2 linked regions of the Drosophila melanogaster genome follow. The protein of the gene in region 1 binds, or shares a complex with, the protein of each later gene. Each region holds a gene or a part of one and is shown on either strand. Other genes may lie near its edges.

Region 1 (4,620 bases):
ATTTCGAGCTTATGGGTGCAGTTGGATCCGCTTTGAGATCCCCAATAGTCGACATGTCCACCAAGCAGGCGAAATTCGTTGAAAACACCATTGCCAGCAACAAAGTGGTGATATTCAGCAAGACCTACTGTCCCTACTGCACGATGGCCAAAGAGGTGAGAAAGTTGCGAGACCTTGAAAAGTCCCAAACAGTGATAAACATCTTTGCGTTCCAGCCCTTCAAAAAGCTCAATGTGGACGCCACCATAATAGAACTCGATGGAAATCCCGATGGCAACGAAATTCAGGCAGTTCTGGGCGAGATTACCGGTGCCAGAACGGTGGGTGCACTAAATATTTTACATTATAAAGATTAATTATCATTTGTAACCTGTGTACTGTGTAGGTTCCCCGCGTCTTTATCGATGGCAAATTCATTGGCGGTGGCACTGACATCAAACGAATGTTCGAGACAGGAGCTCTGCAAAAATATTTCCAATAAATAGTGTTCTTACTCTGTTCAGAACTCCGTTTTATGTAAAAAGTTTGTTAATCTTCAAAGTCCTTAATAAATGCTTTTAAAATTTATGTTTTGCGCTTATTGAGATTACATCGTCTTCTGAGTAATGGGCAAAGTGTTACTAATACCATTCATTATCCGTTAATAATTTTTATGATTGTAGTTCTACGGATCTGTTAGCATAGATATCACAAACATAAGAATATCCCCTTCAACTGCGCCCATGTGAGCAACAGTTTGCAGTTTTAACTGATCTGGCAGCGCCGTAACTGCAGTAAATAAAAAATTGTTTACAATAGTATTTAATAAACTGAATGATGGCTGATTTGGTGAGCGGTGAAGCTTCTGAATCCGACGAGGAGCTGCAGGAGAAGAATAAGGTTGTTGAGGATATCATTTATAAATAACAGTCCAATAATAAAACCATTTTGTGACAGATTTTTGCTGCTGAAATTTCGGGCGAAGCCTCCGAAGAGGATGATGAAGACATTTACGAGCAAGGCCGAAGCAGCAACCAGGTCAACAGCACGGCTTCCATTTACCGGAATAATCTGCTTCAGCGGAAACTAAGTATGTCACCAATTCTGTGCCTTCAAACATTTCAACTTAATGCCCTTTTCCAGTCGAAAACAACATTGCCATTTGGAGATCCCTTACCGCTTTCACTCGCAGCTTTGTGTTGAGTGCATCAAAGCAGCTCGTAACCACTGATCAAATGCTCATCAAGTCGCAACATAGTCTTCAGTCGGCTCACACATCCCTGCAGCAGGCCCAGAAGAACGCCCAGGACCTGCAAAACAGGGTGGCTGATGTTATTACCAGCAACTTCCTCCCGCACATAAGCATCCAGAAGGCAACCTGACTTAGACGTATAGTGTATTTGCTGATAAACGATCAAATCTAGGCTAATCCTCTGTATCGGAATTGGGCGCATAGACCTGAGTGTTGGGTGAGGGCTCCCGCGGCACGTAGGTCCTCTGAAAGCAACGTGAGAAGATGGTTCGCACCTTGTTAGGGCGCTCAGGTGACTGGGGTATAGTTTCGTCCTCGTCGGAGGAGCTTTTCGCAGGTTTAGGTTGTTGAGAGTCGTCTGTGTTGATAAAGCAAACCTCCGTGCTGTTCGGCGGCTCTGGAGCAGGTGCCATGCTGGCCTCCAAAGCGGCATCCGCGGCTGCCAGCATGAGAGCCTCTTGTTCCGCCTCATCTTCAATCAGAACCACAGTGTCCACCTCGGCTAGGATGCGAGGGTGCTGAACAGATGGCGCCTCCGAGTCCCGGAACTGAAACAGTGGATTATCTAGGCTCGATTCTAATTGGGTCTCCTCAACTCGCCGTTTTGGCTGCACTGCAGCCGGTTCCGAAGAGCTGCCTTTGCGTTTGTTGGTCACATTCGGCTTCGAAACGCTGCTCTTTCGCTTTGCGGCCGCCGCTCGTACATCCTCATCCTGCACTGTCAGATCCTTTTGACAATAATCTTCCGAGAAGCTTATATCATCGGGGGATAGCGTGGACATGATCAGCAAGCATTCAATCTCGCCATGCTTCTTAATTTTGAGCAGGAAAGGCATGCCCGCTTCGTCGAACTCCAGGGTCAGCGAAGCATTTAAGCACTCGGCGAAGAGGAGAAATGCTCGGAATTCCTTAATGCAGAATGTAATGACCGTCTCCTTCGTTACCTGGTACTGCTCAAATTCACTGGGCTTAAGTTTCAGCTGCGTGCGCATGAACTTATCATTAACTCGGGCTCCTTCTATGTAGTTTTTGGCCACCACACTGCCCGAGTTTGCCTCCAAAGTAAGTTCCTCCTCTGAGGAGTTAAAGTTATTGGATATATCCGTCAACAGCTTGTGATCGCCACGGATTCTGAAATGTTGAGTAGTAAATTCGGATTTATATGGGCATAGTTGTTTTAAGAGAAATAAGGTAAGGAGATAAACTTAATAGTTATCCTTAACACAAACCAAAACTCACATATTCGGCATCTGATCGGTGTTAATGTTTGTGTTAATGTTTTGGTCGTCTATGATGGAAATGGTGGCCTCCTTTGTGGTCTCCAGCTTACAGCGGAGATTCACCTGCAGGTTGGTCTGGTTGTCCAGCAAGTTGAGTTCACAGTACTCCACCTGGAACATAATATTCTTAACAACTAATCCCAGTGAGCAGACTTTCGAACTTACCTCATTCATGTTGCGGAACACGGCCAAACATCCCTTCATGGAGATCTTGCAGTAGAAATCTGAGTGCGGCGGCATGTCATACACTTCGAACATGGATCTTTTGAACGATATGCTGCCCACTGCGGATTGGGTGGCATTTATGGCCCGCATCTGCAAGGATTGCTGGTCGATCTCGATGAACATCTCCTTGCCCACCTTGGACAGCGATTGTACGGCTTTGGCGATGACTTAAAAAATGAATTCTTTTAGTTATCAATATATTTTGCTGTTTATTATGTGGTACCTCTTGCATTGCTGCCCTCTAAAGTGTATTTCATTGGCAATATTTGCACTATGTTTTTGGTCGCGAAATTCGCGCTGAAATTTGTAAACAAACAAATTAGAGTGATAGTAGTCGCACAACAGGTATGAAAAATACCAACAAAGGAATTTAGTTACCCATTTATGCATTTTGAAGTAAGTATGTACTATTTTTATATTTCAATAATTTCTTTTATAATTTAAAGCAAAATATTTCCATATTGACAATTGTCCGTAAAATAAATAAATTTAAATAAGTTCTTCAACCCGATGTAGTTCCAATGTAGTCTGGTCACACTGCGGCATGCCGGTTCATCAACGAACGCCACATCAGTTCTAAATCAAATTAAGAAAAACTGGGCTAAAACCAGCCGAAAACTGGTGAAAAGTAAAATATTTGGAGAAGGAAAGCCTTAAGTTCCTCTCTACGCTTAGTATACGTAATGTGCGTGGTTTAATCTACGTTAAAACAAGTGGAAACCATGTTACGTGCCGTGGCTTTGTGTGTGTCTGTGGTGCTCATAGCACTATATACGCCAACTTCTGGGGAATCCAGTCAGAGCTATCCCATCACCACGCTAATCAACGCGAAATGGACGCAGACGCCCCTATATCTGGAAATCGCCGAGTATCTGGCCGATGAGCAGGCGGGCCTCTTCTGGGATTACGTTTCGGGGGTGACCAAGTTGGACACGGTTCTCAACGAATATGGTTTGTGTTTATAAGTCATGGAGAACCCGCATTAAAGAGCTTTTATATTCTCCTCAATGTGAATCGAATCCATATAAAATCAAGTAATGGTTCGGAATATAAAATCACCTATTCCCAAAGCCCTATAATGTGATCTTTTCCCAAAGGGTAATTTATTTTTCTGATTACGTTTTCGCTTTTCAGATACCGAGTCGCAACAGTACAATGCCGCCTTGGAGCTGGTCAAGAGCCATGTGAGTTCTCCCCAATTGCCCCTGCTTAGGCTGGTGGTATCCATGCATAGCTTGACGCCCCGGATCCAGACCCACTTCCAGTTGGCCGAGGAACTGAGGAGCAGTGGCTCTTGTCAGAGCTTTACTTTTGCCCAGGTGGGTTCCGAACTGGCCTGCAGCTTTAACGAGCTGCAGAAGAAGCTGGAAGTGCCGCTCGCCAAGGATAGCTTGGATGCTTCTGTTGTCACCTACAGCTTTGATCACATTTTCCCTGGCAGTGAGAACAATACCCGCACTGTGGTACTATACGGCGATTTGGGAAGCTCTCAATTCCGCACCTATCACAAACTATTGGAAAAGGAAGCCAATGCTGGCCGGATTCGTTACATCTTGCGTCATCAATTGGCCAAGAAGGACAAGCGACCGGTACGACTTTCGGGCTATGGAGTGGAACTCCATCTGAAGTCAACGGAATACAAGAGTCAGGATGATGCTCCAAAGCCCGAAGCTGGTTCCACTTCTGATGAGGATTTGGCTAATGAATCGGACGTCCAGGGCTTTGATTTCAAGGTGCTGAAGCAGAAGCATCCTACACTTAAGAGAGCGCTGGATCAACTGCGTCAGAGGCTTCTTCAGGGAAACGATGAGATCGCCCAATTGAAAGCATGGGAGTTCCAGGATTTGGGTCTCCAGGCGGCCGCTGCTATTGCAGAAATACAGG
Region 2 (5,955 bases), on another chromosome or scaffold:
ATGCACACTCATGCAAGTGCATGGGCAATCCAGCTGAGCGAGTAAAATAGAGCCTCTGAGAGAGAACGCGAAATGGGGCCACGGCTGCTGACGAATGTGGGACAGGCAGCGAAGAGCGACGATAAAAAGAGCCGCCCCAACTTTCGTTCACTGATAAGGCCCGATATCGTTTAGGCAAACATTACTACTTGCAAACGACGTGAAAGGTTGCTTCTCTCCAAGAATTATTAGGTACATTCAAAAATGTATTGAAGATTTTTACTCAACATTCAAGTAATGCATCAATAGCCAAAAGGGTCCTAGCGAACTAAATTTTAAAATAAATATGCAAGAAGAAACAAACAGCGCTGGTAATGTGTTTTTATATACATACATATGTAAATAAATAAATATGACCCGCAGAATATCGTAGAACGTGTTCAATCCTGCTAGATTTACTAACAAGAAAAATTCTACATTAGTTGTAAAAGAGATAATTGTTCAAGCGATAACGCATGATGATGCGGATAGGGTCGCAAAAAGATAATTTAAATTAACATCGACGAGTTTTTCTGGAAAAGAATTAAGTGAGAACGTTTATTACACCTGAATACATCAAGTCGCATTTATTACAGCTATGATAAACATACCAGCTCTTAGGCTACATACAAACAGCTGGCAGAATAGAGTGCAGAACCACATCCTGTCGTACATCGATCTGCAGATGGATGGAATGCTCACGGTCAATGCCAATAGTCAGTTCTTCGTTAGGGAGTTGAAGTGCTCCAAAGAAGGCCGAGGCTTTCCTTGAATCCACAGAGCAGGACGCTTCCTGCTGGGATCCTGACACAGTTCGAATTAGTAATTTCTGGAATCGACTAGTCACAGTGGACATTTCAGAGGTGGCTATTACATTGAGCTCTCCGTCCACGTTGACCTGAAACTCCAGGCTGGGTGATATATTCTTCAGCTTGTCAATGAGACTTTTGAGCAATCTTAGGCTTGGTAGGCCCAAAGCCAACTGTGAGTTTGGAACTCTGGGTACAACGTAGGCAGACCAATCGCTGCCCGGGATTATGGTCACTGGAACATCGTGCACCACTTCACGGGCTTCTGTTGAAGACGACGTAAGCACCGAGGCTATTACCGAAATGCACGGAAACTGAATTCTTTGAAGCTTCAGTTTGCAGCTGTTTACGCCTCCACCACGAAGCACAGATAAAGCTCTTCCGAGATTCGCCGAAGACACGCCTAGAACTATGTACTCCTGATCCGGGTGAGCAGCCTCCATGCGATACTCCGGAAAATACTCCTCAGCTGTAATTCCTGCCCAAACCAAGGGCGATGCAGCGGAGCTCTGATCCTCGTTCACGATAAAATGCATCTGCCGAGAGCCCAGAATCATCACACAATCTTTCGCCAGCTTGGTTAAAGTGGCCACAATGGCCTGGAACTCTTTCATGTACAGCGGATCCTGCATCAGTGCGCGGAACTTCATCTTGTCAGCAAAGAACTGTACAAGATCAGAGCAGGATCGTAATGATCAGGAAATAAAGGGAGAAAAAAGAACAAAAAACAGAGTCAAGCCGGGCAACCAAAAACTAAAAAGGCATCCAAATCTACGCAGCGTTCCCTTAGGGTTGCCGTTCGCTAAATCTCAAATATTATACAAAATAGTTTTCATTTTCCATATAACCATAGCGCTGAGACTGAAATCTGGGCTATCCAATAACTGTAGAATTCGCAATTGTTAAAAATGCAACAATGCATAATGGTCATTGCAATATTTTGATTTATTATAAAAATCGATTTGTATGGAACAGGGGAAAAAGAGCTAACCCAAGCTCAATATTTCAGATGTTCAACAGTTTATAGTACACCCTAATTCAGAGGAATTGCATTAAATGCCATTTGTTAGCACTAATCCTATTTGAGACGACCCAATCAGTCAGTTGATATTTCGAATAAACTGTTTTGCCATTCTCGTAATATTTCATTCTTAGGAATTACACGGATTATTTATTTTTTGATCGGAGTCATTTACGTCCCACTCACTTAACATTTTAGGTAAGTCTTGGATCTGGGATGGACGTCATCTGGGTCAGCAGACGAAGCAACCTGATCAAAGGGTTCTAAGTTGGGATGAAGACGACGAATACGAGACGACTTCGGGACCCCTTTTCGGGTGGTTAATGAGGTGTGTGGACTACGGCACCAGAGGGAGGGGATGGGTCGGTTATCCGACTTGGTCTCCACTCGTTCTCACTCTTTTCTTTTCTTCTCGAGTTCGAATTTTTGAGTTCAATGTACAAAGGCGCACACACACACGGGCGCCAGCGAACCCACACACACAGCACACTCGCTCGTCCATCGCACATACACACGGCGAATGATGAAAACGGAAGAGGGAGGGGGAAGGGAAAGAAGAGCCAGGCAAACAAAGCGCAGAGCGAGTTCCGAGTTGTGTTTTGGCTCTTCTTTTCATTTATTTATTTGTATTTTTGTTGGTGGGCGAAGCGGTGAGCAGAGAGCAGGCTAAACGAAACGGAGCTCGACGAAATGAAGCACGCAGTCAGATACAAAGACTGCCTCGTTCTCCTTGCACACAAAGTCATCAAACGACAGACAGGATTTGTACGGCTCAAGTGTAGGGGCGGCTCCAGGGTTGGCTCCCGGGGCGGGGAGGGTGTTGCCAGGGGGCTCCGGGGGCGGAAATCAAATTATATCCCGTCTAGGGGGTCAAAATATTTCCTTTCGCAGTTCAATCAACCTTCAAGGTTATTGATAATGAAAATGAGCTCAAACGTTTATGCGTGGCAGAGTGGTTAGTGGATAACAAGAAATTTGGCAGTACCTCAGCGATTTTCCATTTGCTTTTAAGAGTTCTTTCAGAAATGAACTGGTACTTACCATATTTTGTTCTTTCCATACACATGGGTTGTTTGAGTTGCTGTATAAGTTGACAAAGCTAGTAATACTATGGCATCAGGAATGAAGGAAGCATACAAAAACTGATGTAATAATCCCTAAAATTCAGAAAAAGTACGTCACTGAGTTCTCCGGGTTGAGTTTTGTTCAGTGCAATGAGGGCTATTTTATGACATTTAGTAGGCCTTTTAGGAAGGGCAACTCTAGCTCGCACGACAGTGCTGCCTATTTGGCAATCAGCTGTTTATTTTTTCTCTTTAAAAATTGACCTATGACGTCACAGCAGCATAGCGAATTTCACAAAGAAGCGAAAAAAAATAATGGCTACACAAATATGTATATATATGTATCTGCTTTCTTGCTGAAACCCTCGCGTCATTGAAACGTATCTAAACGTATGTATCTATGTACATATGTACGTTAACAATTAAATATTAAAATTCAAACAAATGCTGGAGAGGGGAGGAAAGAATATTAAAGTGCTGAAAAGAGGCCAAAAATTGATCAGAAAATAAATATGCTGAGAATAAGAAACGTGATTGCCTTGCAGTCTCACTCACTAACTCACACACACTCACTCTAAATACATACATACATGCTAGCATGGATGGAGCACCACCCGCTGAAGTTTGCAGCATAAATAAAAGAGAAAGTAAAACTAAACAAGATGCGCTCGACCCCCACCCACCCCTTATCAAATAAAAGAAAATACCAACTCGAATAGAATAAAAAGACACACATACGTATTCATCAGTGGATAACCTACACGAAAGACGATCAAAATTGATTTGCGAGAAAATTCTATTCGTAAATTTATCAACTAACTATTTGGAAAATCATTCATTTGGAATTGTAATCACCTATGCACTTTGGTATAAGCTTTTCTGTGCACATTTTCCTGGAAAATGAATGAGACTCCTCGGCAGCCATTGTAAAAATCAATATTGGAGATTGCCCTCAGAAAAAAGTGCACTTAAACCCAGATGTCACTCAATCAAAAACTTCTAATTGGGAAAGCACAAATTTACCACACTTTTCCGAGCCTTCGAAAGGCATAAACCTTCACAAATCGGTGGGAAAAAGTAATAGAGGAAAATACAATTCGGTCGACATTTTGTTTTCCGTCTCGCTGGTGCCTATTTGAAACGTAAGCGTGTGTATGTGTGCGTATGTGTATCTCGTCTGAGCTCGGAGCCCCATAAAATCAGTGGTCAAATTACTTCTTCGTATCGCCATAGGCTCGCCTTTGCAAAGCTTTTTGGTCTCCATGGCGTCCGCAGCAGTCGCACTTACCTTTCAACCAAATGCAGAAGTTTTCTCTAAGTATGCACAGTTTTTATACACTCAGCAATTTTCACACGCGACGGAAAACAATGTGCACCAGTGAGACCGCGTCTTGCTACGAACGACTATCGACATCGAAAACCGATAACGATACCGATGGGGAATGCTTTGTTTATTTGAATGTGAACGATGCATTTGGGGCCTTCCGTTACCTTCGCCGCAGACCGCATTTGGTTTGTAGGCGATATGCATGGTAATTATAATTATAGTGATTTAATTAATTACAATTATAATTGTATTAATGTATACAGAAGTATACTTTATACATAAACTTACATTGAGTTGCGTTTTCAAGAATAAGTATTGCGAAACTTTTAAGTAAGCTATAAAAAGCTGAATTTCTACTGTACATTTTAGGATTTTCTTTTTGATATATTTTGAAATGTAGGGAATAGTCAAAACAGTAATGCCGTTGAAACCTTAGAAACCATCAACCCGTTTTGCTCTCTACAATATTATTCGGGAATGCTCCGGTAATCGAATTCGTAAGAAAATTTTAATTTGTAAAACGGCCTTTTAAAAAGTAAATGCCTTTTTTATATCAAATCAGATCTTATTAACTAAGGGGAAAAAATAGTTTGCTGGTCTATTGATATTTATTAATTGATGTTTATGTTCCACATCACCATAAGATCATTTTTAGACTTAGTTATATTAAACAAAAGTAATTTCTGACCCCACCTGAAATTTGACAAACAAAATTTTGCAGTTGGCAACAAAAAGTTTCGATTTGGCAAGTGTTCATAATTATGTCGACAAAAGCTATCAGGAAGACTGCTATACTATTGGTGAAACAATACAGTATAAACAGTATAAATGCATATAAGATGTAATGAAAAAAAATTCGTAATTAATTTAAAGGAGGGTCGAAAGTACTGTTCGTAAATAATACTATTTAATTTAATTACTTAAATGGACAAAGTGCAGTGCGAACATCGGAACTAAAACTGTGAAAAAATTGGTCGCTCCATTGTCTGGAATACAGCTTAGACATCTGTTTCCTGTTTACAAAACATTCCGATCGCAAAAATTCCGCGAAAACCCGAGCACCTAAAAACGAAGTCGAAAGATTTTGCCAAATCGTAATCGAAAAAATATTACTATTACCGGAACATGCCTGATTGTGGTCTTTAGATAGGTTATTTAATTTAAATTAAACTGAAAAGTATTTTTTAAGATTCTTCAATTTAACAAGAAATGAATTTTAATAAATTTTATTAATTTAGCGTAAAATGTTCGGTGGAATCCGGCTATCAGCGCTGCTGCGAGTGGGACGAAGCGCAATCATCGCCATCTTCCGATAGTGTTATCCCAACTTTGCCAGCTCGGTTTTTATTTACTTTCCTGTGCGGCGAGTTTACTCATAAAACAAATGATAATAAAATACACAAAGACCATATTGAATGTTCAATGACAAGATCGATATTCCTAAGCCTTGAAAACGTCCATCTAAAACTAATAGAAACTATTATTGTTTTGGGACAGGCAAGTGCATCCAACCAGAAGCACAAAGGTTCTTATCACGAAAAAAGACAATTCCAAAAACAACAACAAGGAAATAGATAGCGCAACAAGGTGAGTAAACAATAAACTAAAGACAACCAACTGAGTCACTCACTTGCCTTCGTCGATTGCAGTTGTTTGACCGCTGAAACGGAATCTCGTTGTACGGAGAAAGTCTCGAGAACTTTAAGGTGTGACGTG

The links. Proteins that work in one complex are often made in the same cells at the same time.
Region 2: Rad9 (region 1) and Hus1-like share a complex: the UniProt entries of both Drosophila melanogaster proteins name them as parts of the 9-1-1 checkpoint clamp complex.

The regions. Positions count from the first base shown.
Region 1 is NT_037436.4:18,869,492-18,874,111, forward strand, and holds Rad9 (Rad9), read right to left. Parts: upstream 3,063-4,620; 5' UTR 2,994-3,062; coding exon 2,960-2,993; intron 2,904-2,959; coding exon 2,677-2,903; intron 2,623-2,676; coding exon 2,471-2,622; intron 2,363-2,470; coding exon 1,507-2,362; coding exon of another isoform or gene 1,405-1,506; exon of another isoform or gene 1,362-1,404; coding exon of another isoform or gene 1,290-1,361; coding exon 1,188-1,289; coding exon of another isoform or gene 1,123-1,187; intron 1,070-1,122; coding exon of another isoform or gene 937-1,069; intron 880-936; coding exon of another isoform or gene 817-879; 3' UTR 554-816; downstream 1-553. Other genes in the region: Grx1 (glutaredoxin 1), read left to right, coding at 12-155, 216-320, 386-481; Blos3 (biogenesis of lysosome-related organelles complex 1, subunit 3), read left to right, coding at 817-879, 937-1,069, 1,123-1,361; Uggt (UDP-glucose-glycoprotein glucosyltransferase), read left to right, coding at 3,459-3,687, 3,871-4,620. UniProt on the Drosophila melanogaster protein: Component of the Rad9-Rad1-Hus1 (9-1-1) checkpoint clamp complex.
Region 2 is NT_033777.3:4,807,783-4,813,737, forward strand, and holds Hus1-like (Hus1-like), read right to left. Parts: upstream 4,315-5,955; 5' UTR 4,201-4,314; exon of another isoform or gene 3,662-4,200; intron 3,006-3,661; exon of another isoform or gene 2,890-3,005; intron 1,493-2,889; 5' UTR 1,478-1,492; coding exon 641-1,477; 3' UTR 554-640; downstream 1-553. UniProt on the Drosophila melanogaster protein: Component of the 9-1-1 checkpoint clamp complex. Involved in both meiotic and somatic DNA damage responses.